4 linked regions of the Saccharomyces cerevisiae S288C genome follow. The gene in region 3 interacts genetically with the main gene of each other region. Each region holds a gene or a part of one and is shown on either strand. Other genes may lie near its edges.

Evidence for each region.
Region 1: mutations in YAR066W (region 3) and CSS3 together harm fitness more than expected from each alone (negative genetic interaction), as found in Saccharomyces cerevisiae (one large-scale study listed by BioGRID).
Region 2: mutations in YAR066W (region 3) and LEU3 together harm fitness more than expected from each alone (negative genetic interaction), as found in Saccharomyces cerevisiae (one large-scale study listed by BioGRID).
Region 4: mutations in YAR066W (region 3) and ULS1 together harm fitness more than expected from each alone (negative genetic interaction), as found in Saccharomyces cerevisiae (one large-scale study listed by BioGRID).

Annotation. Positions count from the first base shown.
Region 1 is NC_001147.6:15,061-22,452, forward strand, and holds CSS3 (Css3p), read right to left. Parts: upstream 2,737-7,392; coding exon 2,221-2,736; downstream 1-2,220. Other genes in the region: YOL159C-A (uncharacterized protein), read right to left, coding at 173-445; ENB1 (Enb1p), read right to left, coding at 4,431-6,251.
Region 2 is NC_001144.5:1,034,420-1,041,612, forward strand, and holds LEU3 (leucine-responsive transcriptional regulator LEU3), read left to right. Parts: upstream 1-1,673; coding exon 1,674-4,334; downstream 4,335-7,193. Other genes in the region: hydroxymethylglutaryl-CoA reductase (NADPH) HMG2, read left to right, coding at 1-1,345; GTPase-activating protein SST2, read right to left, coding at 4,851-6,947. UniProt on the Saccharomyces cerevisiae protein: Factor for control of RNA levels of a group of leucine-specific genes.
Region 3 is NC_001133.9:216,719-224,167, forward strand, and holds YAR066W (uncharacterized protein), read left to right. Parts: upstream 1-4,330; coding exon 4,331-4,942; downstream 4,943-7,449. Other genes in the region: YAR064W (uncharacterized protein), read left to right, coding at 3,480-3,779; YAR068W (uncharacterized protein), read left to right, coding at 5,688-6,173.
Region 4 is NC_001147.6:688,359-699,688, forward strand, and holds ULS1 (translocase ULS1), read left to right. Parts: upstream 1-4,116; coding exon 4,117-8,976; downstream 8,977-11,330. Other genes in the region: MSB1 (Msb1p), read left to right, coding at 1-822; IES4 (Ies4p), read left to right, coding at 1,266-1,616; SPR1 (glucan 1,3-beta-glucosidase), read left to right, coding at 2,337-3,674; THI72 (thiamine transporter), read right to left, coding at 10,410-11,330. UniProt on the Saccharomyces cerevisiae protein: ATP-dependent helicase involved mating type switching and in silencing interference through its interaction with the silencing regulator SIR4. Cooperates with UBC4 and UBC5 to mediate ubiquitination of SUMO conjugates.

The sequences.
Region 1 (7,392 bases), on a different chromosome or scaffold from region 3:
TTGGCGAAGAAAAGAAAAGTCGGCGTCAAGAATATTAATTTTGGTAACGTTTGTATCAAAGCCAATGGTAGTACCATTGAATTCAGTTATGATTAGATTGATAGTACCATTGGTTTGCTGTAAGTTTACTGAGTCGACAACAGAGCTAGCATACGCATGAATCTCGGTCTGATTACTGTCGAGGGTTCCAGCATGAACGCAAGATTATACCGTCGCCAACAAGCTCATTAATATCGTGACCATGTTTTTTGAATTCATCTTCATAATACAAAAGTAATCTCTTATTTTCTAGTGTCCTTTTGGTGATATGTAAAGTATAACAATATATCTTCTCTTCAAACTGTGAAGGATTTAGAAACTTTATAAAGACAAAGTCGGAGAAATTCTCTTCACAATATACTGTATCCAGCCACTGCCCTGATAAATCGAGTTCACAGTATTGCATATGTGCAGTGATTCCACAAATGGTATTGGTTTGGTCCCAAACTCGACAAAACAAAGAAACTAGCAGCGTATATATAGTACTTATTCTATGGGGCTATTCATTTAATATTTAATCTGTCTGACCTGGCATTCTGCAAACTGTCGGTAGGAAATTACGCGATCAATAAAATTCCTGTTGATGGGAGGGAGAAGACAAGCGAACTCTACGCTTTAAGCAGAGCTGGTGGAAAAACACCATAATAATCCGAGGCAGCAGTTACGCTAAATGGAAAGAAATCGTTAAAAATAAGGGGCAGGCAGGTGTGCTGCTGAAAAGGTAAATGAAAACCAGTGAGTACACTTCTGCATGGATTTTTTTGGCAACAAATCAACGAAAAAAATACTCACAGCTTCCGAATAAGACGGCTTTCCATCAGTATTATTAGAGAATTATGTGGCTGTAACCTTGCTGTTTTTACACTCGTTCCAAGTAAAAAATGCTCATCTTACCATTTTAGATAGAAAAAAAAAATCCTACCTGCCATTTCTAGTCAGCAGAATCTTTACAACATATTGCGAATTTTCTTCAATATTGGTTTATTTTAAGTGTTTGATAGAGTTTGGAGTTCAATAATTTACGCTTGATGCTTAAGTTATTTTTAGTAATGGCACGATAATTAATGCTGTTGTTACTCCCTTATATGATACTACGCGGTAAATCATCATTATACGGAAACCTTTAGATATAGTGCTGTCAACTGGAATTATTATATGGGAAATAACAATTTGTGCATTTTGCATTGAACAGCTCAGGAGAAGAATTAAGTGTAAATTTGGGAGTTTGCTTTCAAATCACCGCCCTGAAAGTGAAGCAACAATCTTGAAGCCTGCTGTATTGGAAGCATTGGAATATACGTCACTCCCTGAACATCTTGAATCTTTTTTTTATTGCTAGCTACAGCTTCAGTTAATTTTGTCACCTTAGACTACCAATTGTTTTATTTTGTATCTTTGGTATGATAATCTTATTCCGTCTCGTATTATACTTGTCCTGTTATGATCTCTCGAAGCAAGTTCTAAGAACTTGTGAGTTTTATAATACTCCTAGGTTTAGCCACTTTCCAAAGATAGAGCAATCTTTTTGGAATTGAAATGTCAGAGGGATGATTCTGACGATAGACATTTTTCTGATGAACTGTTGCGTACGCACGCATAAAAACAGTATAACTTTAGGTGGTAGCGGTAGTGTCGACTTTTATTGGAATGAGAATTAACTATCATATATCGACTAGTATCCATAGTACGTGTATATTATCGTATACAACGTAAGAAAGACATAAATATTGAGAAACAGTCAACGATTTTAGTAGAGGTTGAAACGCGAGGCTTGATAATTTCATGGGATAATGAATGACGGTATATAAAATGAAAGAAGATGTAATAATATTCATTATCATTCAAACTTTATCTCAGCCCATCCTCATCTTTTTCAGTACTGTATGTGAACTCGTCCACAAACACCGTATAGCTACGTCCTCTTTCATTTTCAGGTATGTATCAGCTTCTTGCATCACGCCACCACTAGCACAACGAAAGTATACAATACAATGTCATTAACCCTAGATGCTGTTGTTCCTCGATGTTGTGTATACATACATTAACTCGAAAGTGCGATGTTAATGATGTCCCAGTGCTATATAATAAATCTACAAACTAAAAAATCTTGATCACATCAACCAAAAATGTATCTTACTGCTAAATGTGTCATAAAAGGGTTCCAGTATCCTTACTACACCATTATATAGAAGACTCTTTATAATTTCTTCCGTCAGAATAATTACTTATCAATAGATTGTTTAACGTAGGAGGAGTTGGATGAGCGCAAGCATTTGTTGAGTTATTCGCAACTGGATGAACATAATGTCCTTCTTCATCATATACACGCATTACCAAATCCATTATATCTGTACAATAATCAGTCTCAGAATTATATGGCTCAGGTCCGTTATAAGTCGATAGATCTAGGTTACTGTACTCATAAGAATCTGTAATAGCCTCCAACTCAACTAAGGTATCCCTATAAATCAAAGATTGCTGATCGCCGGGTTCAAACCGTCCCGTTCTAAGTGTTCTACCACTTTTATCAGAATAAATATCATAGTAAGATGCTTGGAATAGCCAGCATATTTGATTGTTTGTCATATTAGTTGGCAAGTTGAAAAATACTTGGTAACCGCTGGTGATATCAACATATGCGGAGCATAATGAGTACAATTGAGAAAAAATGCAAAATAAACCAAATAAGGGAACCATTTTTTACTAAGCCTCTCTACCCTTTTAAAAATGGTTTTGACTTCAAACGCTTAGGAAGCAAACATGCTACTGCTATTTTTTGTCCAAAATTTTTATCCTTTATAGTTAATGTTTTTAGATATTGCGCGGATCCATTTAAAAGCAATTTTAGTTTGGTTACATAATGTTCAGACATGTATTTTAAAAGGTTAAGCGGCGTGCCTTAAAGCATTTTACTCCCGAGTTTGATTGACTCGCTTATGTTCATAGGTATATTAAACAAGAATTATGGAGAAAACAGTCTTTAACGTGTATTTTTAAATCTATATACATAAACCGTAGGACGCGGCATTCGACTGCTTTGATAAGAATTCAAAAGTTAGTGTCCGGAAATCTATTTTTAGTAAAAGTAATAATGTTATTTGTACAGAGTATTGCAGAAGTTCTCTTTTAGAGTGTTATGAATTCATGAAATCGAATCTATAGCTTGCAATATAATCAATGCCATAATACTACTGTTGAAATAGAGAATTTGGTGAATAATTGGATAATTGTTAGGATTTTCATTATTATTGAAGGCTATAATATTAGGTATGCAGGATATGCTAGAAGTTCTCCTCAGATATATAGCAATTCATGAAGGATCGTCGATTATTCTATAGAATAGTATTATTACTTCACTTTCCATTTTATATGTTGTGATTCATTATCTTATTACATTCCTAATTCTTGAGTGTCAGCTTTCACTAAATTTCATGGCTGTTTCTCTATCTTTATGTCGCCTTCACTTATTTCTACACTCCTCAAGATTAAGTATCTAATTTTTGTAGGAAAACGACACTGCAAAGAGTGGATCAATATATAATAACATGTTTTAAATAAACGTCTACTTATGATGGAAAACATTAACTTGTGAGTTAGGATTTTTTGTATATGAGATATTTTAAAGAAAATTTAGTTCCAAAGGAGAAAATGACTTGCACAAAAATGACATGGGCAAAATACCTAATATTAAATGAGCTCTATCTACAATCCGTGCAGCTATACATACTTTCACGCTTGTTATACATTAATCAGCGAACCATTATAAGTATGGGGCCACTAATATTTCATATATTCTCTGATCTGAGACTGTTGGAGTCGATTTCTCGCACAATCAGCACTGGTTAAAATTTCGTGGGGTTACTGCTTCTTTTAAGTCGGTCAATGTTTTCTTCATTCTTTCGAACTTTGAATATTTTTTATGACGTCAATTATAAGAAGTATGAAAGTCAGGTTAGCAACAGCTAAAACTAAATAATAAAGGGCTCAAGCAGGCTTACGGCAGGTGGTGATTATATTTACACTACTAATTTTTTTTAATTCGTTTACGCTCTAGTAAAAGTTCTTCGCAACATTTTTTTTTATATTTCTTTATAAAAACTACGGGAAATGACAGGTGCGAATAATCTCATTGATTTTTGTATTGTCAAGCCCATTTAAGACTATAATATTGCTGAAATAAACGTAACAAACGTATGGATATTCACTTAGTTAGAAAAGAAAAATAAAATAAAACTAATTCGAACTTTTTGTTGTTTTTTATTTCAGACAACAATATTATACTGTTACACGCCATTATTGATTACTACTTACATTAACAGTGATTATTTCAAAGAGAATTCTAGTTCAGGAAAGAGCTTAACACTATATTTGTATCGCTAGTACTCTCCAGCTCAATATCCAATTACACGACGGAGCCATGATTGTTGTTTGATTTTGAGCTTCTCTTTCTCTCGTTCTTCTGCGGAAAGACTTTGCTTCTTGTTTACAGTAAAGCCACGCAAGAAAAAACAGAGAACAGCATTGAAAGCCGCAAACGAAATGGACACAATTATCAATAAGCGTTGAATCTTCGAATAGGATTCTATCATCTGAACACGAACCTCTGATCCAATAGGGTATTTTTTTAGATAATTGAGTGGTGATTTGTAGATTGCCATCCCTAAACTAGAGCCGAGTCGCTGTATCAACTCCTTTGCCAGACGCTGAGTCCATATAGCACCAGCGATGGAAGCACCTACTGCGTCTCCGATTTGATAAACGGACATTAGTAACCCAGTGACAGTTGCCATCTCATTGTGGGTGGTTGAAGCGTGCACTAGCGTCCACATAGGAAAACGTATCATACCACCAGCTATACCGACCACAATCTCAGCGCCAATAAGACCCGAAATCCCGTCATATACCACCCTGTATTTGTACAAAAGACCCATTCCGATGACACCAAGAAGCGACCCAGCGACTACAAAGACTTTCGGATGAGGATAGAAATGCAGCATAATGCCGACAACAATATTAGTGCATGACTGTAGAAAATTGTAAAGCTGAGCTATCCGCTGCGCACTTAATGTTGATTCTCCGAATGCTACCATTAACACGGTGACCAAATACTCTAACTCAATCTGCAAACCTAGACGCCATACAAATTCCATTAGCAATGCAACGTAGATGGTTGGATCACCTAGATATACTCGTGGGATAAATGGATTCTTAGCAAATTTTAATTCCCAAATTAGAAAGATAAAACCTAAGCAGCCACCAACCACAATCATTGCAATAATGTGACCCTCTCTCCATTTGGAGGTGGCTCCACCAGCTATTGTGAGAGGTAATAATACTAAAACTAAGAAAGCAGTGAAAAGAATGACTCCAATTAAGTTTATGTCATCCGCAAATTTCCAGAGCGTTTGACGCAGGGTCTGTCCTTTTTCTTTCAATTTTAATGGTGGTAACTTACCGCTGCGCCAGGAAATGTACTGAGCATACACATAGGGAAGGACCAATATTAGGGTGGAGATGGGCACAATGATGCAAAAAATTCCATAGCCCCAACGCCATTTATATGGTGCAACATTACCAGCAACTGAGCTAACAATATTTCCACTTACCCATGTGTTTATAATCACGGGAATCAGAAATATGTTCATCGCAAATGTACGATCTCTCAATCCAGACAGATCACCAGTCAGTGCTGTAGCAAGAAGACGAAATCCAGAATAACCGAACTGTTGTATAACAATACCTGCAAAAAGTCCGGAAAACGTTGGAGTAGCAGCAGAAATAATTTCTCCAATAGTATAGAGCACAAGCGCAAAAATCCAGCATTCTATACGTCCAAACCGATCAGATATACGTGCGTATGGCACTGCGACAACAGAGGCTACTATTGATTTGACGGTATTGATCGATCCTACTTGAGAATGCTTTCCAAAACTGTTAGCGGCATAGGTTTGTATTGATTGCGAAATCTGCCCTCCGAGTCCAGTACAGTAACCCTGCAAAAACAGAGCCACCAGTAGGGCGGTCTTGAGTGAACTAAACGTAACTCCAAAAGCTGTGAAAGAGCTGTAGTCAGACAAGACCTTGTTGACAGCGTCTATACGGCGCAAGCCAGACGTGGTAGACTTCTCAACATTGCTATCTGTCTTTTCGCTGTAGCAGACAGTGCTTTTATCGTCTAAATTGTCATTCCTAGAGTGATCAGTTTCCAGCATTTTCAGAGAGACATTCACGAGCACTTTTTTGCTATATTAGAGTTCTGCTAGGACCCAAACCATCATTTCAATTAAATAAGTCATCTCTATTATCCAAACATAGACCCTTCGCCACTCAAAAGCCACAGAGGGGTGCAATTGTAAGCCGTGGCAGCCTCTATAATAGTATACATTTGTATCACATTTGGGTGCAATAATTTAAACAGATTTTTGCAGTTGACTCAGGACTAAGGGCAATTCTTGCCCAAACTACGGAACCCTGTTTCTGATCCGAAGGGCTTATAATCCATAGAAACCCTTACATTTGCTCACTGAAAACCCTGTGTCCTTATTTGGTATATATGATGCGAGGATTAAACGAAAACGGAAAATTTTAGGTTTGAGGGTCCCATTAGTTCAACTAAAAAAGAAAAACGAAAAAAAAAAAAAACAAAGTCAAACCATAAAAAGTTTTGAACTACAGAAAATGTAGGCTTGTCTATTCTCCTGAATTTGACTTTTTTTTTTTCTAACTTTTTCACACCCCTTCATTAACTAATTAAAACTGTCGTAGAATTTCCCTTCATTTTTATTCAGCCATCCTCAGTTAGGAACGATTGATACAGCCTTCATTCGTCATTTCGTGACTTGCATGTTGGATTGGAAAATTTGCTGGCGGAGCAAAGTCAAGACGTTCAGAGGGAATAGTAAATGAGATTGTACGAACCGGTGAATATATTTTGCTGGCTAGATTTTAAATGGCCATTGTGTTATTGCTCTATCAACATAAAAGAAAGTATATGTGTTTTCAGAATCGTAAAATTTGTGACAAACTAAAAATCAGTATCTTCATAAAAGTAGTAGAGACATTTCATAGGTACGTTCCGCCCTTAGATAAATGTGGCTGCAGTTCATAATGCAGTGTGTAGTAGAGATGATTCTGTTGATCATAAACAATAATATATAATTTCACTAGTACTTGTTCTTATATGCACATAACTCGCCGTATTATCTGGCCAAATGAGCTATAGAGTAACCCTTCTCTCAGCATTATTATAATACAATACCAATGCAAGGACATATGGAAAATGCTACACAAAACTATACTTTAGTGTATTACATAACTCATACCGCACTACCAGATATATGTCGTTACTATTTA
Region 2 (7,193 bases), on a different chromosome or scaffold from region 3:
GAATTTAGTGGAACTTATGGAGAAAGAACAATTAAAGAACATGAATAATACTGAGGTTTCGAATCTTGTCGTCAACGGTAAACTGCCATTATATTCCTTAGAGAAAAAATTAGAGGACACAACTCGTGCGGTTTTAGTTAGGAGAAAGGCACTTTCAACTTTGGCTGAATCGCCAATTTTAGTTTCCGAAAAATTGCCCTTCAGAAATTATGATTATGATCGCGTTTTTGGAGCTTGCTGTGAAAATGTCATCGGCTATATGCCAATACCAGTTGGTGTAATTGGTCCATTAATTATTGATGGAACATCTTATCACATACCAATGGCAACCACGGAAGGTTGTTTAGTGGCTTCAGCTATGCGTGGTTGCAAAGCCATCAATGCTGGTGGTGGTGCAACAACTGTTTTAACCAAAGATGGTATGACTAGAGGCCCAGTCGTTCGTTTCCCTACTTTAATAAGATCTGGTGCCTGCAAGATATGGTTAGACTCGGAAGAGGGACAAAATTCAATTAAAAAAGCTTTTAATTCTACATCAAGGTTTGCACGTTTGCAACATATTCAAACCTGTCTAGCAGGCGATTTGCTTTTTATGAGATTTCGGACAACTACCGGTGACGCAATGGGTATGAACATGATATCGAAAGGTGTCGAATACTCTTTGAAACAAATGGTAGAAGAATATGGTTGGGAAGATATGGAAGTTGTCTCCGTATCTGGTAACTATTGTACTGATAAGAAACCTGCCGCAATCAATTGGATTGAAGGTCGTGGTAAAAGTGTCGTAGCTGAAGCTACTATTCCTGGTGATGTCGTAAAAAGTGTTTTAAAGAGCGATGTTTCCGCTTTAGTTGAATTAAATATATCCAAGAACTTGGTTGGATCCGCAATGGCTGGATCTGTTGGTGGTTTCAACGCGCACGCAGCTAATTTGGTCACTGCACTTTTCTTGGCATTAGGCCAAGATCCTGCGCAGAACGTCGAAAGTTCCAACTGTATAACTTTGATGAAGGAAGTTGATGGTGATTTAAGGATCTCTGTTTCCATGCCATCTATTGAAGTTGGTACGATTGGCGGGGGTACTGTTCTGGAGCCTCAGGGCGCCATGCTTGATCTTCTCGGCGTTCGTGGTCCTCACCCCACTGAACCTGGAGCAAATGCTAGGCAATTAGCTAGAATAATCGCGTGTGCTGTCTTGGCTGGTGAACTGTCTCTGTGCTCCGCACTTGCTGCCGGTCACCTGGTACAAAGCCATATGACTCACAACCGTAAAACAAACAAAGCCAATGAACTGCCACAACCAAGTAACAAAGGGCCCCCCTGTAAAACCTCAGCATTATTATAACTCTTGTAGTTTACATGGTGATACTTTATATCTTTGTATTGTCTAGCTATTCTAAATCATCTGCATGTAATAAGAAGTTGATCAAAATGACTCGCTGCGTAAAACCTCTCTTCGATCGGAGGTGCCGCCTAATTTATCGCCTAGCACTGCGCTTTTTCAAAGTTTTTCAGAGCAAAAAATGAAAAGTAATGAGCACAACAATAGAAGAGTATCATGATATATAAGGTCATAAAACTAGGTTTCAGGGGCTATCGGCAATTTGAGGAACCTTCAACCTGCCTCAAGTAAAAATCGCTTCGTAACATTAATACAAATTCTTTTTGCAATTATGGAAGGAAGATCAGATTTTGTGGCGACTTCACAGTCCGGAAGTGAAATGAGCCATAGTGAAACTAGGAATAGAACTGGGATGAATGCTAGGAAAAGGAAATTCGCCTGTGTGGAATGTCGTCAGCAGAAGTCGAAATGTGATGCTCACGAAAGAGCACCGGAGCCATGCACTAAGTGTGCTAAAAAGAATGTCCCATGCATTTTAAAACGAGATTTCAGAAGAACTTATAAAAGAGCAAGGAACGAAGCCATTGAAAAAAGATTCAAGGAACTCACCAGAACTTTGACAAATTTAACTTCGGATGAAATTTTGAAGAAAATTGAAGAGGAACAGGAAATTGTTTTGGATAACAGTAATTTCACAAAAGAAAAAGTAAAACAACTCAGGAAGAGTGCTTTTGAGACGACAGAAATAGAACCGAGATCATACAAAACACTTCGAGGAGAACCTATTTCTTACAGTACCAACAGAAGACATACGGATTCTTCTCCTTTAACGCTCTTAAGCTCGTCGACAAACTTCGACCCTGTTCACTCAACAAACGTTATGACAGATGATCAACTTAAGTGCTTGCCAAAAAGCCTGGGCGACGTATATTTGTCAAGCAGCGATATTGCTGAGCTGTTTCAAGAATTTGCGACAAAATATCATCAATTTTTACCCGTCGTTGACCTTTCGAAAGGAGCAGAGCGAATTTATCACTTATCTCCTTGCTTATTCTGGGTCATCCTGCTCATTGGTTTAAGGCGGAAATTTGGGGCTACAGACTTAATGACTCGATTATCAGTGCTAGTAAAGTCAGTTTTATCAGAAATCACAATATCTCCAATAATTCGATATACTCCATCAGATAAGGACGAACCCGTTCTAAATGTAGCATCTGTATATTCCGTGCAAGCATTTCTTTTATACACGTTCTGGCCTCCCTTAACCTCTTCATTAAGCGCCGACACTTCGTGGAATACCATAGGAACAGCGATGTTCCAAGCGCTTCGGGTAGGACTAAATTGTGCAGGTTTTTCAAAAGAGTATGCTTCGGCAAATTCAGAATTAGTTAACGAGCAAATACGAACTTGGATTTGCTGCAATGTTGTATCTCAAACAGTTGCATCATCATTTGGTTTCCCAGCTTATGTTTCATTTGATTATTTAGTAATCAGCTCTATTAGAGTACCAAATTCAAAAAGCCAAGTAGATATACCCAATGAACTAAGACAAATGGCTCAAATTGCTAGATTTGAGAACCAAATCGTAAACACAATGAACTCCACCCCGGCGAGTGTTACTGGGATGGTAAGTCAGGAAGAGAAGCAGCCCTTGTTACACGTTCTTAATCAACAACTAAGTCAATTGGAGATTAGTCTTGAAGAAAATAACCTAGATGATATCCGAAAATTTTTATTACTAGTGGCCAAGGTTCACTTATTAACCTATTACTTCACTGATGTTACCTCCCAAAGTGCTGGAAAATCAAATGGTAATATTTATGAGGGATCATATTCCATTATGGAACTCGATACAAGTTTTGAAACGAAACGTGGATTGGTGAAAGTTTATAATGCCGCCGTAAACTTTCTTATACATGCCAATAGTATGTGGGAACATGATCCTACCATTATTAAGTACTTTCCTGGTTTGTTTGTCTTGAATATATGGCAATCTGCCTGTATTATTAGTAAACTCATACATTCATCACTTCATTCAATGCTAGATGTTAACTCAGGCAAAAAAGCTTATAACAACGCAATTTCATTGACGTTTAATGCCTCAGTTTTAAAATATGATATGGCGTACAGATCATCCGGAATAATGCGAAGCATATGGAGTTTATTTGCTAATATGTATGATGCCTGGAAAAACGACCAAAAGGAAGGTGGAGGTAGACTAAATAATGATTTCAATTTAGGCATCACCATAAAATCTAGGATGTCAGTAAACGTTTTTTTTGACTGCTTATATATTCTAAAAGAGAAATGTGGTATGGCCAAATTGGAGAGAGAGACCAAGGTTTCTACAGCTTACAATGTTGATGAAGAGGAAGAGGAAGATGAAGATGAGGAGGGAGAAGAAGAAGAAGAAGAAGAAGAACTAAGTAGTAAAGTTCCAGAAAATATGGATAGCCAGCAACTAAGGACAAGGAAATTCACCAATGTAAGGCATCCAGAAAAGAAAGCAAGAAAAATAATTGAAACAATTCCGCTAGACCCAAATCCAATAAATGCAGGCTCTACCAGCAGTGGAAGCTCATTAACGACCCCAAATAGTCAAGTAGCGAACACTATATCATATAGAGGAATCCTCAATAAAATGTCACCTAGGGAACAACTGAATCATGCAAATTTAGATTCCAGTGTTTCTACAGACATCAAGGACACTGAAGCTGTCAATGAACCTCTGCCAATAGGGAGGAATGCTGAACATCCGGCAAATCAACCGCCTCTTTCAATAACACAAATGCAAGAAAACACACTACCTGCGACACAAGCCAACTCTTCTCTATTAGAAACGTATCCCATTGTTCAATCAAACCCCGTTACAACTACAATCAAAGAATCACCCAATTCCATCATGGCAGGTTGGGATAACTGGGAATCTGATATGGTTTGGAGGGATGTTGATATTTTAATGAATGAATTTGCGTTCAATCCCAAGGTTTAAAGTCCTTTTCTTTTTTTGCGTAATGTTTACTTACCCTCGAAAAAATGTTATGTAATGACTGCGGTGCTACAGGAGAGGTAAATGATTTTCTATATACGTTTATATTTCTTCCATTTACGCACACTATTTTTTGTCCTTGAATAATTTAACTCAAAAAAAGTGTAAAAAACTGTGTCATTAGGTATATGTTCAATACTTTTGATCTTCAAATGACGTAAAAAAAAGTTTTCAGACGGACTTAAACCGCCAACCAGCCTTGGCCACAGGTGTATGATGCGAAGATTCGTAAGCGCTCACGTTAGTCACATCTCAGGATTGGAAATTATACTAGATAATAAATGGCTTTATTTAATCATATTATAGTTGATATAACAAATCACACCTCCGCTTAATTTATACGTAATAGTATTTACAGTCCTTATGGGTATCAAGACATATTAGGTTAGGAGAACTAAAGAAAAAAAAAAGGACTGTTTGTGCAATTGTACCTGAAGATGAGTAAGACTCTCAATGAAATTAGCACTTTTCTTGGATTTCTATTAAAGCGCTAGCATCTTTGTATACGTCTGACTGGGTAAATTTTTGAAAGGAATCGTTATTCATCAGTCTATACATTTCATTGCTAACGATCTCGAAGAGGGGATATAATTTCCTGAGGACCTTCAAAGTTGCTGGAAATGATTCAACCGATTTGGTATCATTTTGGGTGTTGTCCATGCCATAACGAACAATTGTATGTGAATTTTCTACTGATGCATTAGGCGAATGCGTTTCTGCCAGAGTTAACGGGGCAGGTTTATATTCCTTTAACTGATGTTTGAATCCTTGCTTCTTAAATGAACAGTTTTCATTTGAAAGATTTTTTGAAGGTTTTAGACTCACTTCAGGTGGTTCACCTAACGTGTCAGCCTCCGTTGAGCTAATTGATGAAGCTGCTGATTCCGCGGATGCAGGTGATGGATCGTATAGATTAGTAGGAAAGTGTTCCGATAATGGAGAATGAGGGTGCAACATGATGTCAGAAATATTCTGACGCAAGTTATGATGGATATTTAATTGATATGGTGATCCTATCATGATATAGGACGAATAAATGTGATATGCCATTTCAAGGCACTCATTGGCCTGTTTCATTAAAGCTGAATCAATCGTTTTTACGATATTGTTTTTTGAAGTACTGGTATTAGATTTTTTATCACAATGCTTAGAATCTATCAATTTTTTCAGAATTGTCATTTTCTTCAAAAACCTCTTAATCTCAATGAAGACATCCAAATTTTCTACACAAAGTTCCTTTTCTAAATGGCGCCTGAATAAATATCTCATACCTGGATCAGTTAGCACATAGTCCAGTTTATTTAAATTACTCGAAGAGATAAGCATGTCTTGAGAAAAACCTTCACTATCATCCAATGTCTTTTTTTCATCACGAACAGTCATATGACCCCTTAATGTGAAATCTAGGTCTATGGTGCTACCATTTGGTGCTCTAATATTATTGCTCTTACAACCTGTCCAAGAAACCAAATCCCAACCACGCTTGGACAAGGTAAAAAAAGAGGACCTGCTAATTTGAAACTTTTTCTTGTCAGTGCGTGATGGTTGTAAAAGAACTGGTACAATCAACCCCGTTTTTAAAAATAACGCTGCCAACGAGACCGCTTCTTTAACATGCATAATATCAGTACAGTCCATTATCCACTGCCATATAGCCTTTGTTGTAAAGGTGTACTTAATCACGATTTTTTTGGAAGTGCCAAACGTCTTATTTTCAAACAACCTAATACCTGCATTCGAAACGTAGTATTGCGTGTGCGACTCAGAATCTGGATTTGTAAAGAATCGATGAGCTAATGGCGATACCCTTTCTAAGTCATTTATATCGATGTTTCCAATCTGAGCTTGCCATCCTTGTTCTGGCTTAGATTTCTCAAAAGTAAATGTATCATCATTATTAGTGTATTCCAACAACGAAGATAGGCAAGGTAATGGGTCATCTGCGTTTGTTGGAGACCAAACATTTGGCTTAGCGCCCATCATTTTAATGAAAAGAATATGGATCAAATAATCACTATGGATGATTGAATCCGTGACAGAGCTTCTCTCAAAAGTGAAAAGTTTCATGGAGTTAAACGATGACAAAAGAATATCAGGCATTGTTTTCAACCCAATATCTCTAACATACTTTTGTAAAACAGCAACTCCCTTAGGTGTTGGTTGGAAAAGAACTTTCTCTTTTGGCTCGCCACGAGTTCTGTCCTGCGGTGTATGTAGTAGCTTAGAAGACATAAATAATGTAAGAAGGTGGCGCGCCAAACTAGGTTTAATATTATATGAAACGTTAATACAAGTTGTGTTCATATCCACTTTTAGTTCCAATTGTCCCATTGCTTTAATAGCTTCCTGATATGTAAAAGTGAAGTGGAAATGTTTAGTGAATGCAGTTAATAAGAAAGACTTAGTGTCACTACTATGTTTTTTCTCTTTCAAATCCAAACAAATTAGAAAAATGGAATATACTGTCTTTAAATCATTGGTAAAGATCAGTCCATTCGGCGTTCTGCTGAAATTTTTGGAAGATAATTCATGCAACGTCCTATTTTTATCCACCATCTTACAACTCTATCTTTAATTACCAAATTGAACCTATAACGCCTCAGATAGTGCGTGCAAAACCTAGAAGGAACGTACGACAGTAACACCTCCAAAGTTAAAGGACGATGAGAAGTAAAGACAGAGCTGGGATTATGATTTCATTCACCGGTATAAATATAACAGGACAGACAACAATTCTAACGCACCAGCAACCAAATCCAAGTCCTAGTCAAAAAAAAAGCAGTATTGGGATCATTGTTTCAA
Region 3 (7,449 bases):
TGAATTTTGCTTACTCGTGCTGCCGGGAACACTTAGCAGTTGGGAGGCCGTTTCTCCCATATATTTCATAATTTTCTGTCCTTCTTAGAGTAGGATGCTGAAAATCAAAAGAAGACCGTCAATAGGACCAGATTTTGTGGGTCAATTTTGGGCCAGACACATGATACCCTAGGAAGTTTAACGGTATACAACTCAAGGACGAGGAGTATTCGGAAACTACCGGTTTTTAACAAGCTGCAAATTTCCAGTAGCTGTTTTGGTTGCGACTACGGATAAAAATTCATACTTTAGGAAGTGAAGCAAGATAAAAAATCATGCTGCATCCTAATTCGTGAAGTTTGTTAGGAATATTATTGTAAACAAGGAACCGTTTCAGTAAACTTGCTCTCTACTCTTCTAAGCTGTAATTTAAAAAAAGCGATAAAACAATGATTTTGATTATCTGCAACTTCTGGAAACTCGAGATACTACGCTAGACGAGATACCTATTAATTGTTTTCCTAAAAAATCAGGAACAGTTCCTGGCAGCTTTCGGCTCCTTCTTGTTCTGGAAAGGATCTTCAAATCCGCTTCCACGTAGCAGTCCTCGCTACGACTTCTTCTGAAGTATTTTGATTTTTGGCTGCATTTACCTTTTATTGCCGAAAATCTTATTTTCCAAGAAAAAAGCTTATTTTGCATTAAGTTTAAAAAATTTCTTCTTTCCCGTAGATTGACTTGCAGCGTCAAAATTCCGGAGGCCTCACGAGATTTTTTGACATCGGTTTTTGACATCTCTTTTTCCTTCCTTTTTCTTTCTTTTCCTGCGCACGCCGATAAAGAAGTAGTACAACAGACAACGTCAAAATGATCCTCTTGTGATGAAGCAAAAGAGGAAGAGTATACTCCTTTTCCGCTTGTACAAATATTTTTTTTGATAATAAAATTTGGCACTTCAGAGCTTATCGTATCTTCTCCCGGAGTTCCTCAAGACTTATACTTCAGCCCGTTTAGGAATGCATAAAAGCAAATAGGATTCGTTACAACTGCTGCAGGACTCTTTAGGACTGCATCAAGGTAAGCCTCGCTGCACCTAAACGCAAAATGTGGTTGTAACCTTTTTAATTTTTTTCTTGAACTTGTTGAGTCGTAATAAATCGTTTCTGGGAAGTGGAAGGTAATAATGTAATGGAATCGGCGTTACTCGCATGTGCAGATATCAGCGACAAAAAGTGTTGTAGGGACGTTTCGATACCAAAATTTCCTAAATACAGCGCAGGAACATCACTACGCTAAACAAATCGTAGCGCATACATCTGATCGAAAAAAGACAGTTCCCAAAACAATGACATATGAAGAGACCAGCATCAAAATTTTCATCATTAACAGCATGGCTAAAAGTTATTGTTTAATATACCCATACCTGATTGACGAACCAAGAAATGCCTTATCACTATTTATTTTTGGCACTCTTCACCTACCTGGCCACGTCCAATGTTGTTTCAGGAAGTACACAAGCATGCCTGCCAGTGGGCCCGAGGAAAAATGGGATGAATGTCAACTTTTATAAATACTCATTACTGGATTCAACAACGTATTCCTACCCGCAATATATGACTTCTGGATATGCCTCGAATTGGAATTAGGTTCCGTTGGCGGACAGACGGATTTCTCAATTGACTACGATCTTTCTTGTGTTATCTCTTCAGGAACTTTTAAATGTGCTCAATCAGATGCTTATGGAAACTGGGGATGCAGAGGTCATAGTGAATGTTCAAAATAGCCAAGAAAGACCTATTGGAGTACTGATTTACTTGGTTTCTTACTATCCCAAAAAACGCTACTCTAGAAATGACAGGTTACTTTTTACCACCACAAACAAGTTCTTACACGTTCAGGTTTGCTAAGGTCGATGACTCTGCAATTCTATCAGTCGGTGGTAACGTTGCGTTCGAATGTTGTGCACAAGAACAACCTCCAATTACATCGACGGATTTTACAATCAATGGTATTAAGCCATGGCAAGGAAGTTTGCCTGATAACATCGGAGGGACTGTCTACATGTATGCAGGCTACTATTATCCGCTGAAGGTTGTTTACTCCAATGCCGTTTCCTGGGGCACGCTTCCAATTAGCGTGGAATTGCCTGATGGTACTACTGTTAGTGATGACTTTGAAGGGTACGTTTACTCTTTTGACGATGATTTAAGTCAGTCAAATTGTACTATCCCTGATCCTTCAAAACATACTACTAGCATCGTCACAACTACTACCGAACTGTGGACTGGTACTTTTACTTCTACATCTACTGAAATGACCACCGTCACCGGTACTAATGGTCAACCAACTGACGAAACCGTTATTGTTGCCAAAGCTCCAACCACTGCCACCTCATCCAGTTTGTCATCATCTTCTTCAGAACAAATCACCAGCTCTATCACGTCTTAGCATCCAATTATTACTCCATTCTATCGCAGCAATGGAACTTCTGTAGTTTCTTCCTCAGTCATGTCTTCCTCGGTCATTTCTTCTTCTGCAACGACCTCCACTTCTATATTCTCTGAATCATCTAAATCATCCGTCATTCAAACCAGTAGTTCCACCTCTGGTTCTTCTGAGAGCGAAACAATCTTAGTGATTGCTGGCATGTCATTAGCGACAAGACGCTTATTACCGTAGTAGCCCCCCAAGGCAAACATCTCTTTATCAGTAATATCCAAAGCTGTTCAACTTCTCGAATTGGCCCAGGAAAAGAGCATTGGGGCGGCAACTAACTCTGGCATACTTACAGTTTCTGCTCTTGACAGCGCTAAAAAAGGGCTTGTTTTGTAATGCCCGGTTCGCAATTCTACAAGTACCACGCACTAGCTGCTAAAAGTGTCTAACCTTGCGAACAAATCTGGACTTTCTTATGAGAATCCCATCGTCAAGAAACAAAATTATACAGACAGGCGTAAATGTAGCTCGTAAGCGCCTGATCAAGTAAGCCAAATGCGCTAACTTGAGGAAATATAGCCATCTAAATCTCTGCAACATGCCAATTCGCACGTGACTTGAAACTATGGAAAGTGTCTAGAAGATTACCAAGAACCACGTTATTTGAGAGAGGATGGCAAGGTGACGACAATCACACCAAGACCACATTTTGGGTGCGCCTGGAAGCAAGACCTGAGAAACTGGGCCAAAATATTCAAACCAAGCATAAGATAGTTGGAGGTAGGAATACACTATCTAATCTGTGCTGATGAAATGCTGGCGAAAACGGGCGATGTAGTGGTACAGAAGGTGCCGGTTATCCGTTTGTCCGTTTTTCTTCATTTTTTTTTTGTTTTTCCCTTTTGTCTTTTGCACCGCTTATATATGGGTATGAAACAAGTTCAAGAATTTATAATGGAACCCAAAGGTTCAGTCTTTGTAGTTCGAGCGACATTGCGCGTTTCCTTAGAAAACGCTGGAAAGATATTCTTTAACGAGACGGAGTAATTCTCGTCAGGAATAGGATGTTGATTGATTTTTGCTGTAGTTATATAGCAGGGACCCACGGAAGAGAGCGAGCGCCTTCTTTCACAGGGACTTTTGTCAGCCACGTCTCCGGGGAAAACAATTGCCGTCCGCGTCGCAGTGAGATTACGCAGCCGTGCGCTTCAGGGACAGAAAAGAAGCATTTCGCGGCTACGGAGAAACCGTGCACTAACTCTCTCGAGGGTAGCCGCAAAGATTTCTTGTCTCTTCCATTAGGACATAGCTATCTTTTTCTTTTCTGTTTTTGGCGTATGATCTGTTCTGAGCCAAAGTTATAGATCATTGCTTGAATAAGCACCTCACAGAGTAGGGATTGTATAGAAAGTAGCTGAGCGTCTGCCCACGTAACAAACAATCTTGCCCCTTCCCCGCTCTTGTTTTCGCGTGCCTCTTCTACAATAATCTGGCCAGGCTGAATCGCGTTCTGCTGCTGCTGCTGCTATTGTTATTGTTGTTGTTGTTGTTTTGGCCAATTGCTTATGTGTTGGTCTGCAAATTAGCACCTCGTTCCCTGTTGGCAAACGCGCGCGTACAAGCCTTACAGGGCTTGAGAATGTTCTTCGTAGAAATGCATGCACAAAAATTCTGATCTAGCACACCATCGGTCTCTGTAGCTTCGGGCTCTATAGCTATGGGTTAGGAGTCCGTGAGTAGTAACAAGAAGAAGTATATAAAAAGCAGGTAAATCGTACTTCAATATGCTTCATTGTCACTGGATCGTCATATTCACTCTTGTTCTCATAATAGCAGTCCAAGTTTTCATCTTTGCAAGCTTTACTATTTCTTTCTTTTTATTGGTAAACTCTCGCCCATTACAAAAAAAAAAGAGATGTTCAATCGTTTTAACAAATTCCAAGCTGCTGTCGCTTTGGCCCTACTCTCTCGCGGCGCTCTCGGTGACTCTTACACCAATAGCACCTCCTCCGCAGACTTGAGTTCTATCACTTCCGTCTCGTCAGCTAGTGCAAGTGCCACCGCTTCCGACTCACTTTCTTCCAGTGACGGTACCGTTTATTTGCCATCCACAACAATTAGCGGTGATCTCACAGTTACTGGTAAAGTAATTGCAACCGAGGCCGTGGAAGTCGCTGCCGGTGGTAAGTTGACTTTACTTGACGGTGAAAAATACGTCTTCTCATCTGATCTAAAAGTTCACGGTGATTTGGTTGTCGAAAAGTCTGAAGCAAGCTACGAAGGTACCGCGTTCGACGTTTCTGGTGAGACTTTTGAAGTTTCCGGTAACTTCAGTGCTGAAGAAACTGGCGCTGTCTCCGCATCTATCTATTCATTCACACCTAGCTCGTTCAAGAGCAGCGGTGACATTTCTTTGAGTTTGTCAAAGGCCAAGAAGGGTGAAGTCACCTTTTCTCCATACTCTAACGCTGGTACCTTTTCTTTGTCAAATGCTATTCTCAACGGTGGTTCTGTTTCCGGTTTGTAACGTAGAGACGACGATGAAGGCTCTGTAAATAACGGTGAAATCAACCTAGACAATGGAAGTACCTATGTTATCGTTGAACCAGTTTCTGGAAACGGTACAATCAACATCGTCTCTGGTAACCTATACTTGCACTACCCTGACACCTTTACTGGCCAAACTGTTGTATTCAAGGGTGAAGGTGTTCTTGCCGTTGACCCAACCGAAACCAACGCCACTCCTATTCCTGTTGTTGGCTACACCGGTAAGAACCAAATTGCCATTACCGCCGACATCACTGCTCTTTCTTACGACGGTACTACTGGTGTCTTAACTGCAACCCAAGGTAACAGACAATTCTCTTTTGAAATTGGTACTGGATTCTCTAGTTCTGGCTTCAGTGTCTCCGAAGGAATCTTCGCAGGCGCCTACTCATATTACCTAAACTATGACGGTGTCATCGCTACAAGCGCCGCATCCACATCCGCATCCACTACCTCTGGTGTTGTCTCTACTGCCACTGGTTCAGTCACTTTATCCTCTAACGCTTCTACCACCGTCTCTTCTACGATCTCTTCTAGCGCCCCAGACTCAATAATTCCTTCATCTAGCGCCTCTATCTCTGGTGTCTCAAACTCCACTACAGCATCTGGTTCAATCGCTTCTACTGCTTCCACCGCTTCCACTACTTCTACTGCATCCGCTGCATCCGCCACCAGCTTCACCTCAGGTTCCGCTTCTGTCTACACTACTACATTAACTTACTTGAATGCCACAAGTACAGTCGTGGTTTCCTGTTCAGAAACAACCGACGCTAGCGGTAACATTTACACCATTACCACAACTGTCCCATGCTCATCTACCACTGCCACCATCACATCTTGTGACGAAAACGGATGCCATGTTCCAGCACCAACTGCTACCGACGCAACTGCAACCGTTTCCTCCAAGTCATACACCACTGTTACTGTTACTCACTGTGACAACAATGGCTGTAACACCAAGACTGTCACTTCTGAATGTTCTAAAGAAACTGCAGCAACCACCATTTCTCCAAAATCATACACTACTGTTACCGTTACTCACTGTGACGACAACGGCTGTAACACCAAGACTGTCACTTCCGAGGCTTCCAAACAAACATCATTGGCCACTAGCACAGTCACCAAGTCTGCTGCTCCAACTTCTCATACTGCTGCTTCCAGCACCTTCACTGGTATTGTCGTTCAATCCGAAGGTATGGCTGCTGGTTTGAGAACCAATGCTTTAAGTACTTTGGCAGGTATTTTCATCCTTGCTTTTTTTTAAAATGAGTGCGTAACCGTACTTTCCTAAAAATAACTAAGTAGAAAGTATTTTAATATATAAACGTCAGTGTAAACATTCAAGTGATTTTAACTTTACGCGGTTGAAGAATGCTGTGTTCGAACTATAAAGCGTCAGAAAAGATGGTTTAGCGAAGGCACCATTATGAAGATAGACACATTCTTCTTTTTTTTTTTTTTTTTTTTTTTTTTTTTTTTTTTTCATTTACTTTTATTTCGCGCGGTCGGTAAATTTTTCGTGGGTTTCTTTGAATCTATTAGCCGACATAAGAATAATGCATAAATAATATTTTTAATGTCTTCCTATGCCCAAAAGAAGAAGTCTTGAAGTTGCCGCACATGGAAATCACATGACCATGGCTTGGCCCTTCGTTTTAAATGCAACATGCAATATGGAATGTGTCATGAATACTATCAGCAGGAACAGAAAGCGTCGTTTTGTTTCTGCAAATGCTGTAGTTTTGGGCCGAAAATAGATGTAGTAGAATATATAGTGAAACGTGATGTACAAAAGAAAAAGGTAGTTTAAAAAAAATTAGATAACTTGGATTTTTACCCTGAATATTGCATGTGATTCGTAAAGAACTGAGTTACCTCAAACGGACCTCCCTTTTCATTTCGTATTCCGCGAATCATGAAGTCATGCAATTACCTCTGAAGAGCTGACTGTCCCAAAAGAAGCTATCGAATCTGTCCTTGATTTATTTAAGCCTTGCGTTTCGAGAAAGTGAAAACCAATTGAATACAAAATAAAAAAAAAGAAGAAAGAAATAGCAGGTCTAAGATATATAAGAAAGTTAATATCATTTTTGAACATTTTATTTTAGACGCCTTCAGCCGCGCGACGCCCGGAGTAATCATATGCCCATGACTTTACCAAAAGGCAACAGGGAGGAACATGCATTAATGTGAAGCATCACTGCTGCAATTCTCGGTGTTGCTAATAATTCATGGATCGAGAAAGAGACATAACATTTAGGCCAATTTTTTGAATAAATATGAACTCAGCTAAGACTCGACAATACAATTTTCTTATACTAAACGTAGATTTATAAAATAAACACAACTGTAAGGGCAATGCAACCGTAGATGCATATATCATTTATAGAAATTATATCCAACAGAAAGCTCAGACTTATATCCGGTTTAAGAGAGAAATTCTTGCTCATATTACCCCAAGACCAGGTGGCGTGTTGAAGTTTATAA
Region 4 (11,330 bases), on a different chromosome or scaffold from region 3:
GCGAGGTCTCCACAATTCTCCACCAATTCGGCTGGATTCAAGCAGAACACGATTAATGTACCCGTTGGGTATAATGATCCTGCTCACGTTTTAGCAAATCAACCACATATGACATATCGGGACCAGCATAATTATCCATCTCACCAACAAAAACAACGTCCCTTCCAAAACAATATTGTGCCCCCAGAACTAAAGTCCAGAAATCAACGGGCAGATGCTTCACCTATTCCCCAACATATGGTGCCAGTAAAACAAGGTGTGCCCAATCTTCCATCTAACGTTCCATTATATCAACAAATGGAACGAATGAACCCTAACCACCAGCACCCTGTAAATACTTACAAGGTAACTCAGCCGCCGTATCATAATAACACAACAAATGCTTATGGGAACAGCCGGGCAGGCAATGCTCATATGTTAGATGGAAAGTGGAGCAATAATCCGCCGCAAATGGTACCAAAGGGAGTTCGCCCCAATCAATATCCACAGCAGCACGTTAATAGGTATTCACCGCAAGCTCAACCTGTCGTACCTGCGGAATACTACAATGGACCTCCACCTATGCGAGCACCTCCAATGATGTCCCATATGGTACCAGCTCAGGAGCCGATACGTTACACAGCTGGTGCTAACAGGCGTAGTTTTCCCCAAGGCATGCAGCAGAATGCCTATTCCGTACCCGCTCAGCCTATGGGGGCTGTAAATAGTGAATTTTACCTACCAGAAGCTCCTCAGGGAAACAAACTGCATGGAAATATTAACAAAAGACAGGAGAGAAAGAAGCTATATGATAACATTAGAAGCGGAAATTTCGGCATATAGAAACACTTTGTATCTGAAATTATCATCTTTATGAAATCTCAACAGTTGTAAAATTTCCCGAATATTTATACATATATATGTGTATGTAATTACAAGTATTTAGGACAATAAGGAGAGATTTAAGTCTACTACATAATTTTTAACTCCTACAAATGGCAGGTTACGTTGAGTAAGAATATAACATTTTATTTTCCATATTCAACATCATATGCATTTTATCATCTCATCCTCTTAGTCACTAATTTTTCTAACGCTCATAACAAAAGGTGCGTTACGCCGTCTAGAGCTTTTCTTGAACGTTAAAACTTTACCAAGCAGTTGACGGGTAATCATTCTCATAATCCAAGTAATTTTAAAGATATCAACAAAATGTACTATAATGCCAACACATTCTTTACTTATATTGGCCGGAAGATAAATCCAATTTCTCGAGTAATTGTGGTATGTCCCAAGAAAGTAGTGTTTTATCAGAATCGCAAGAACAACTAGCCAATAACCCTAAAATAGAGGATACAAGCCCTCCCTCTGCCAATTCGAGAGATAATAGCAAACCTGTACTTCCGTGGGATTACAAGAATAAAGCCATAGAGATCAAGAGCTTCAGTGGTTATAAGGTAAATTTCACCGGCTGGATAAGAAGAGACGTAAGAGAAGAACGTCAAAGGGGAAGCGAGTTTACTGCATCTGACGTTAAAGGATCAGATGACAAAGCTACAAGGAAAAAAGAACCAGCAGATGAGGATCCTGAAGTAAAACAACTTGAAAAAGAAGGAGAGGATGGACTGGACTCATAAGGTAATGTCAACAGCTTAAAGTTGTTCTCAGGGCCCCACACTTTCTAGTTTGGCACGTCATTTATGAAATTCACAAATTGGTTACATTAAGTACTAAATCTGGTAGCCGACCAAAAAAGAACAACAAATATACAATTGTATGAGTAAATATGCAATATAAATCAAATGTATTTAGTTAAAGGGCCAGAAGTAAGGCTACAGACTGTAAAAGAAAATTAGATGGAAACCCTCTTCAGGAAAAAAGGACATTATAAAAGATACAGCCAAGAAGTGGGCGTTTATAAAACAATTATATAACATGACCGTCGATTATATTCTGACAGGAATGGCGACGATTGCATCGTTATATTTCATTTCATTCCCAACTCAACGATACTGGTATCAAAAAGCCTCTCTGTTCATTATTTGTCCCACTACAAGCGACTCTCTTATTTTTGGCGGTCTCTGCCAGCTTAAGAAAAAGCGGTTACCAAACGACACTAAAAGAAGCGGCGCGTCTGGTTCATTAGAAATTTGTCAGTAATGCTGTCAATCTTTGTGTAAAAAGTCTTTCCATCAGTTGCCACCCCTTTTGTAGCAACTTCCATGCGTAGAACAACCTCACATTCATTATTTTTTTTACCCTTCTCTTTTAATTGTTCAATTGCGAACAGACCATCCAAAGATTCGAAAGAAAGACTGAGGTGCTCCGCATAAAATCTTTATAAACTTTAGAAGTAAATGGTTTCGTTCAGAGGGCTGACTACACTAACACTACTTTTTACCAAATTAGTAAACTGTAATCCTGTTTCCACAAAAAATAGGGACTCTATACAGTTTATTTATAAAGAAAAGGATAGTATATACTCTGCCATCAACAATCAAGCCATCAATGAAAAAATTCATGGAGTCAATTTGGGTGGGTGGCTAGTATTGGAGCCGTATATTACACCTTCTTTATTCGAGACTTTCCGTACTAATCCGTACAACGATGACGGTATTCCTGTTGATGAATACCATTTTTGTGAAAAATTAGGCTATGAAAAGGCAAAGGAACGCCTTTATAGTCATTGGTCGACGTTCTATAAAGAGGAAGACTTCGCGAAAATTGCTTCTCAAGGCTTCAATTTGGTTAGAATTCCTATTGGGTATTGGGCCTTTACAACGTTGAGTCATGATCCCTATGTTACCGCCGAGCAGGAATATTTTCTAGACCGGGCTATCGATTGGGCTAGGAAATATGGTTTGAAAGTATGGATTGATCTTCATGGAGCCGCTGGTTCACAAAACGGATTTGATAACTCAGGGTTGAGGGATTCATATAAGTTTCTGGAAGATGAAAATTTAAGCGCCACCATGAAAGCTTTAACGTATATTTTAAGCAAATACTCAACAGACGTATACCTGGACACCGTTATTGGAATCGAATTGCTCAATGAACCGTTAGGTCCAGTTATTGACATGGAAAGATTGAAAAATTTGCTTTTGAAGCCGGCTTATGACTATTTGAGAAATAAAATTAATAGCAACCAGATCATTGTAATACATGATGCTTTTCAACCTTACCATTATTGGGATGGGTTTTTGAATGATGAAAAGAACGAATATGGCGTCATAATTGACCATCATCATTATCAGGTGTTCTCGCAGGTGGAATTAACAAGAAAAATGAATGAACGTATCAAAATCGCCTGCCAATGGGGGAAAGATGCCGTAAGCGAGAAGCATTGGTCCGTAGCAGGCGAATTTTCAGCGGCCTTAACAGATTGTACAAAGTGGTTAAATGGGGTTGGTCTAGGTGCCAGATATGATGGAAGTTGGACCAAAGACAATGAAAAATCTCATTACATAAATACGTGTGCAAACAACGAGAATATTGCCTTGTGGCCCGAAGAGAGAAAACAGAACACTAGAAAGTTTATCGAGGCTCAATTAGATGCTTTTGAAATGACTGGTGGATGGATAATGTGGTGTTACAAGACAGAGAATAGTATCGAATGGGATGTTGAAAAATTGATTCAACTCAACATTTTTCCGCAACCTATCAACGATAGGAAATATCCTAACCAATGTCATTGAAATTTTGTGGCATATATTTAAGGTCTTGGGAATGTGATGATTATTATTGGAGAAAAAATTGCCATCTAAAACTCTTTATATAACATGATGAGGTATACAAATAAAAAATACTTTATATCTTATAATTATGCAAATAAAAGTGCTTCCATCAACCGCTACTTCACTTTTTATCTGAACTATGAATGGGGAGCTCATGATGATTACCTGTTGATATTACGTGAGGCGGAAGAGAAGCACGAGACACGGGTCACTCTCGATATTACCGGACAGTTTACTTAGACTATGTAACGAATATGAGAGGAAGAAAAACAATAAATAAATACAAACCTCTCCGCAGTTTTATGAAAGAACAGGACAGGGCGTCTATACCGATTTTTACATCTATCTTTTGAGTGCTTGAAAGGAGACGCTGGACTATATCTTTAGGTTAAACATCTGTCAAATGGCAGCAGTACCCACCATCGACCTTACACTAGCCGATTCAGATAATGAAGACATATTCCATTCTTTTTCGTCTTCAACAAGTGTGGATAAGATAGACATTAGGAAAGAAAATGGGAAATTAAGAATGGCAGGCTTGGAAGTCGCCCAATCTAATGACGATGCAGCACGTCAAGCATTCCATGTTTTCAAGACGAACATATCAAATAATGAAACCTTCGATACTATTCTTTCAAAGAGCAAGACAATCACAGACAGTACCTTCAACAATGAAAAATCTTCCAACGAAGTAAAACAGCAGCAAGTCTTGAAGGAAGAAACGATGGGATCTTCCAACGATGAGAAGAAAACACAAGAGAGCAGCCCAAGCGCAGAGATGATAAAACTTTTTTATGAAAACGATGATGTGCCGTTATCCGATAGTTTTAAACAAAAAGAGGAAGGTAAAAGAATAAATCAGGATGAGCAAGTGAAGGAAAATATCTGTGGCATTTCTTCCTCATACGTCTCCAAAGACTACGATGGCGTTGAAGATGATTTCGAGCCTAATACTTGCCAGGACAGCAATTTGGATTTTCAAGAGGAGAAGTTAAACTTGAATAACAAACCGTCACAGCAACAGTTCAGCGACCCAGAAACAAAAGATAACAGTTTGAAGAGCGAAAACAAAGACCAAATAAAAGGAGTCACAACAACAAGTTATCGTGATTTACCTATTGAATCTAGTGCTTTCCAGGATTCTGAAACTCAAAATAACTCCAAAAACACTATACCTAACATCGTAAATGAAAAGCGAACGCCAGCATTACCGTCCAATCTAAGCTCTGTTGAGAGTTCCCTTAAAAACGAGACGGCCAAAGTAGAGGGGAAGACGACCGTTCGTCTTCCAGGACTTCAAAATAATGTTGCCTTACTTGAGCAAGAACAAAGTGAACTATTCAAGCACTTTAGTGAACAACCTGTCGATATTAGCGATTTTGGTCGTAAGATTAAAAGGAAGCATAGCGGAGATTTTGCAGATAACAAGATACTTAAAAGACCGATATTGCCCTCAAAAAATATGGACCACACAACACATAATTCACATGATTCCGAACAGAAAAATAGCTCGATTATTATTCTTTCAGATGAGGACGAATCTGGTGCCGGTATCAATGATATAGAAAGTCCTTTGAAAGTTTCTGAACCAAATACAGCTGATGCGCTTAGGAGCAGTGTACCAGAAGTCATATCTTTACTTGACCTACCCAATATTGACTTGAATAACTCAGTAATAAAAGAAGCAAGTGGCAGCAATTCAATTCCTACATCAGAAACAGACGCACAATCCTCGAGTTCGTCAGTTCTTCAAGGAACTATCATGACAGAACAAGCTACTCAATCCTCTCAACACGAATGTAACAGTTCACTTGATACTCTAAAAAAAAATCATCAAAAATTATTGAAGGATTTGAATTCTAGAGAGTCTGAACTACGTAATGCTCTCAGTTGCTGCAAGACAAACTCTGAAATTTTAAGAAGGAAACTAAGTAGAAGAGAAAAGGAGGTCTCTGATGCTGAAAAACATTGGCAGTTATTGTTGACATCGATGGCTAGAGGGGGAAGAACTATCAGCTCAACTCAGCAGATATTAGTTGATGAAGCTGAGAACCAATTAAACAAACTGAAGGAAAAAAGACAGTTGACAAAATCGAAGCTAGATTCAATCAATTTGAAAATGTATAATTATAACGAACAATGGAAGTCCTTTGTGCATTCGAAAAATATAAACCTGCAGAAATCTTTGGCTGCCCTTGAGCGGTCAGCCAGGGATAGTAAAGCTTCTGCGACCGTAAATAAAAGAAACGAATGCCTGGCTGAGAAAGAAAAGCTAGACCAAATGTTAAAAGAAGGAACCCTAAGCTTCAGTACCTACAAGCAGTTAACAGGGGAGATCCAGCAGAAACTGAATGACTTGAAACTGGGGGACCAACGCACAACTGATATCAATAGTGTATTGCCAATAGTACGGCAACCTCTCGCCAAAAGAGATTTATTTATTAAGTCCATTGATACTGCAAAAGATTTATTAGCCAAGAACACATCCAGGACAGAAATGACGAAGAGAATTCTTTATAGACATTTGGACAACTTGGTCTCTTATAAAAACTTTTTTGAAGACGGAAGATCCTTAATAGATATAAACAGAAGACACGTTGCACATGAATCGGCCCAAATATTGTTCACCAACGGTGTAAAGATGCCCATTGTTTTTGAAACATTACAAGATTACGGCATCAAGTTTTCTAATCCAGCCATTGTCAATCCTGACAGAAGAGCCCAATATTTTAAAAGCATCGAAGTTGCACGCGATCTCATATCAAAGTCTACTAGATCAGAGGATGCTAAACGAAAGATTACTCGATTTTTGAATATAATTGAAGAATTTCGTAAAGATATTGACACCGGATTTCCACCTACTCCTTTAAAAAGGGAAGGCGTCGGAAAAGCTGTTGTTGGGCTAAGACAACAAGGACTTAAGATGGACAGACTATATGAAAATTTGAGAAGATATAAGATTCCAATAACAAGTGAAGAATTACTGCAGCAAAGCTATTTATTTCCGGTAAACGCAGATCAACGACCTCCTTCAAACTGGAACATCGTGGAAAATACCGAAGATACTAGTTCTACAGCCAATGATCTATCGATGCAAGATGAATTTCACATCTCTAATATGCATGCAGCAGAAGATCAAGAACAGATTAGGGCTCTTTTAGAGAATGTCAAACAATCTGAATCCATTATAGACGGCGAAGCACTTACTCCCGAGGATATGACCGTAAACTTATTAAAACACCAGAGGCTGGGTCTGCATTGGTTGTTACAAGTTGAAAACTCCGCAAAAAAAGGGGGTCTGCTTGCTGACGATATGGGCCTGGGTAAAACGATTCAAGCTATTGCATTGATGTTAGCAAATCGCTCAGAGGAATCCAAATGTAAAACCAATTTGATCGTCGCACCAGTCTCAGTCTTGAGAGTTTGGAAAGGTGAATTAGAAACGAAAGTAAAAAAACGCGCAAAATTTACTACATTTATTTTTGGAGGATCAGGTAACGGAAAAGTTAAGCACTGGAGGGATTTGGCAAGATATGATGCTGTTTTGGTATCTTATCAAACTCTAGCAAACGAATTTAAGAAACATTGGCCGAAAAAACTGGATGGTGAACAAAATCAGCTACCAGCTGTGCCTCATATACAAGCTCTTAATAGGTTGAAAACCTCAAATGAATACTACTCTCCATTTTTCTGCAATGATTCAACGTTTTACAGAATTTTACTGGACGAAGGCCAAAACATCAAGAACAAAAATACAAGGGCTTCTAAAGCGTGCTGTACTATAAATGGAATGTATAGGTGGGTCTTGTCTGGTACGCCGATTCAAAATAGTATGGATGAGCTTTATTCCTTGATAAGATTTCTAAGAATTCCACCCTACCACAAGGAGCAACGGTTTAAATTAGACATTGGAAGGTTTTTTCAGAGAAATAAGCAATATCAATATGATAACGAGGATAGAAAAAACGCATTAAGAAAGGTTAGAGTCCTTCTAAATGCCATTATGCTTCGTCGGTCTAAGGCTGATAAGATCGACGGCAAACCTTTACTGGAGCTCCCTCCTAAAATTGTGGAAGTAGATGAATCACGCCTGAAGGGAGAGGAATTAAAATTTTACACAGCTTTGGAATCAAAAAATCAAGCACTCGCTAAGAAATTGTTGAACAATTCTACGAGGGGGAGCTACTCTAGCGTTCTCACATTACTACTTCGCTTAAGGCAGGCTTGTTGTCATTCAGAATTAGTTGTGATGGGAGAAAAAAAAGCGGAAGGTACAAAGGTAGCTAACGGCAAAAGCTTTGAAGATGACTGGCTCAGGCTCTACTATAAAATCACTCACATGAGCGGAGAAGCGCAGGCTCAGGTTATTACTTCAATGAATTCTATGACATGTTTCTGGTGCATGGAACAATTAGAACCAGAAGCGATGTCCGTTCTGACAGGTTGTGGTCATTTGATTTGCGACACTTGTATCGAGCCCTTCATCGAAGAGTCATCCATGCTACCTCAGGCCAAGAAAACCAAAGGTGGGGCATTTGCTATCCCATGCAAAGATTGTCAACGTTTGACAAACGAGAAAGATATTGTTTCGCACAAGTTATACGACCAGGTAATAAACCAGGGATTTACTGAGGAAGATTTGCATGCAGAGTATTTAAGTGAAATGGAGAAACAAAAAATACAGCAAAAAAATGTATATGTGCCAAATTTTGAGAGTTTAGAACCATCTACGAAGATAGAGCAATGTATACAGGTTATTCAAAGAGTTTTTGATGAATCAGCAACCGAAAAAATTATTATTTTTTCCCAGTTTACAACATTTTTTGAGATTCTCGAACATTTTCTCAAAAATAAACTGAATTTTCCCTACTTGAAATATATTGGATCAATGAACGCTCAGAGAAGATCAGATGTTATCAACGAATTTTATCGTGACCCTGAGAAAAGGATACTTCTGATTTCCATGAAAGCCGGTAACTCAGGACTAACATTGACATGTGCGAACCATGTAGTTATAGTTGATCCATTTTGGAATCCTTACGTCGAAGAACAAGCTCAAGACCGTTGCTATAGAATTAGTCAAACAAAAAAAGTCCAGGTGCATAAATTGTTTATAAAGGACTCTGTTGAGGATCGTATTTCTGAATTACAGAAGAGAAAGAAGGAAATGGTCGATTCTGCCATGGACCCAGGCAAGATAAAGGAAGTGAATAGTTTAGGGCGTCGGGAGTTAGGATTTTTATTTGGTTTAAACGCTCTTTGAAGAACTTGGTGAATTTTGAAGCATTATTGCGATACACATATGTATATGTTGATAATTGGTGGCTAAGCTTCTAGTTTGTAGGCTTAAGTAACTTCACTCGTTGGCACTTACGAGCTTGGCATTTAATGGAACAGAAAATAAGCCGTAAATCGGCCCTACTTTAAGTATAAGAAATATGCGAAATTTGATATGATCGTTTGAATTACTTTTTGAAAAAGAAAATACCATTAGTAACATACAATATAAGAAGCTCGTCTCCTGGATTTGGAAATCCACAAAAGATTATCAACAATGCCACGAATAACATAATTGCTTCCCCCTCCTGTTAATTGCTTTAACTCATTATTGCATCGTTAACAGTTGTTACTAAATTTGATTTTTGTTTCTCATCATATATGTAATCTTCAAACGCCAGTATAATTATACGCTCGCAACAGCTACCATACATTAATGAACCGATGAAAATATCCCGTTTGATGATAACTGGCAATTAAATGACAGTATTAATTAATAATCAAAGCTGATCTTATATTCCTATAAAAGAGAAGCGTATAAAACACACGTGGATTGGGGGTGCTTTATACGTAAACTGTGATTTCAGTAATTTTCGCTGTAAGATCAAAGTAAAGACACATTCCCTTATATGTAAAGTTCAAATTCATTGTTCCACTAATAGACCGTCAACTTTTCTTTTGGATTTTCAGCCCGAACAGGTTGCTTATTATTAACTTCCTTACAACAAGGTACAGTCAGTGCATTATATAGATCTATACAACCATGTGCCTTTGTGTTTTCTAAGGCTATACTGAAAATAAATTGGTAATTTATAATTTCTATCTTCACGCGCTTTCTCACTAACAAGACTTGACCTCTCAAATAAGTGGCGCAGATGCTCTAGAAAAGGTTTCTTATCAAATAAGTTTTGCTCTTTAATCGCACAATGCAATGCAAGTTATTTTTTTTTTTTTGATTTAATGACTTTCGATTTCCTCTCATAGGCAACCGGTACTTATCATAAGTACGTAATAAGAAAAGTATGTCGCAGGACGTCATAAGCTCAGACTTGAACAAAAGAGTAACAAAATCGCCTCCACCTAATTTTCAGCCCTACTAGAGCCTGATAGGATATCGGCACTGAAGCTGATAAGAGAATCAATGAAAATATCATCCTCAACAGAAATACTGAAAAGAAGCGGTAGTTTTTTTTTCTTGTTACAATTATCAGCCAAACAAAAACAGTGATCTGAATCGTCAATCAAACATTAGTGGAAGAATGAAATAATCGAAATGACCTCTATATCCTGTACGACCAACAAGCTTAATAGTAGTGTTTCCTGGGACTAAAGAGTGTGTTTAATTATCTCGAATTTTAATACTAGCGAAAGATCTTGAATGAACACTAAGTATGATCATTTTATTAGGTTTTTTGCTCATTAGGCAATTTGTTTTTCACTGGAAGTAGAGGATTCCTTTTCATTATCTTTCTGATGAACAATTTCAAACACTTTTGTGTTTTCTGAACTAGTTTTTGTCAACTCAGGTAGTTCATCATCGGAGCTCTCAGGTTTGTATTCGTGTCCACTTGTGAAGCATTCGCCTAATGTGTAAGCACGGATTTCTTCTTCAGAAATTTCACTGTATGGAACCATGCCCTTCTTCCTTGCTTCTTCGTCGGTAAACGCACCGTAGTAATCTTTGTCATCATGTTTGACAGTAATTTTGAATGGGAAGAGGAGGCATAGTCCCCAATAGACGAAAAAGGAAATCAAAAAGGAGAAGAAAGAATCACCATAGAAAAAATTTATAATACCAGTGTTGTGGAAATAGTCATTATTGACTTCCCAAGCGATACCAGGTAGACCGGGAGCCATACCACACACCCAGGCAACGATAGCTCTCCAGTTGACACCCTTGGTAAAATAGTATTCACCCTTTAGAACAAAGGCATTGGTAACGGAGTATTGTCTCTTCCTGATGAGGAAATTATCACAGATCATGACAGTGATAATAGGTGTCATTACGACACCGAAAGAGCTCATAACAGTCAAGAAAGTAGAAGAAGAGTTGTAAAAGTTCCATGGCAAACAGGCCCAGGAGACGCATGCGGCAAAAATAGCACCTCTCTTAATATCAACATATTTCGGTAATAAACCAGCCAAATCCATACCACTGGCAAACCCACAGTTGGAGATGGTATATGAAATTTGAGACATTACAAAACAAAAACCACAGAAGAATGTAGCTGCACGCGCGCCTGCAGAATAGTTAGTTGTCAACCAGTTGTCAAAGATGTCCATAGGCATCCAAAATGTTTGACCGTATAATTTTTCACAAGCAGAAGCACCAATGATACC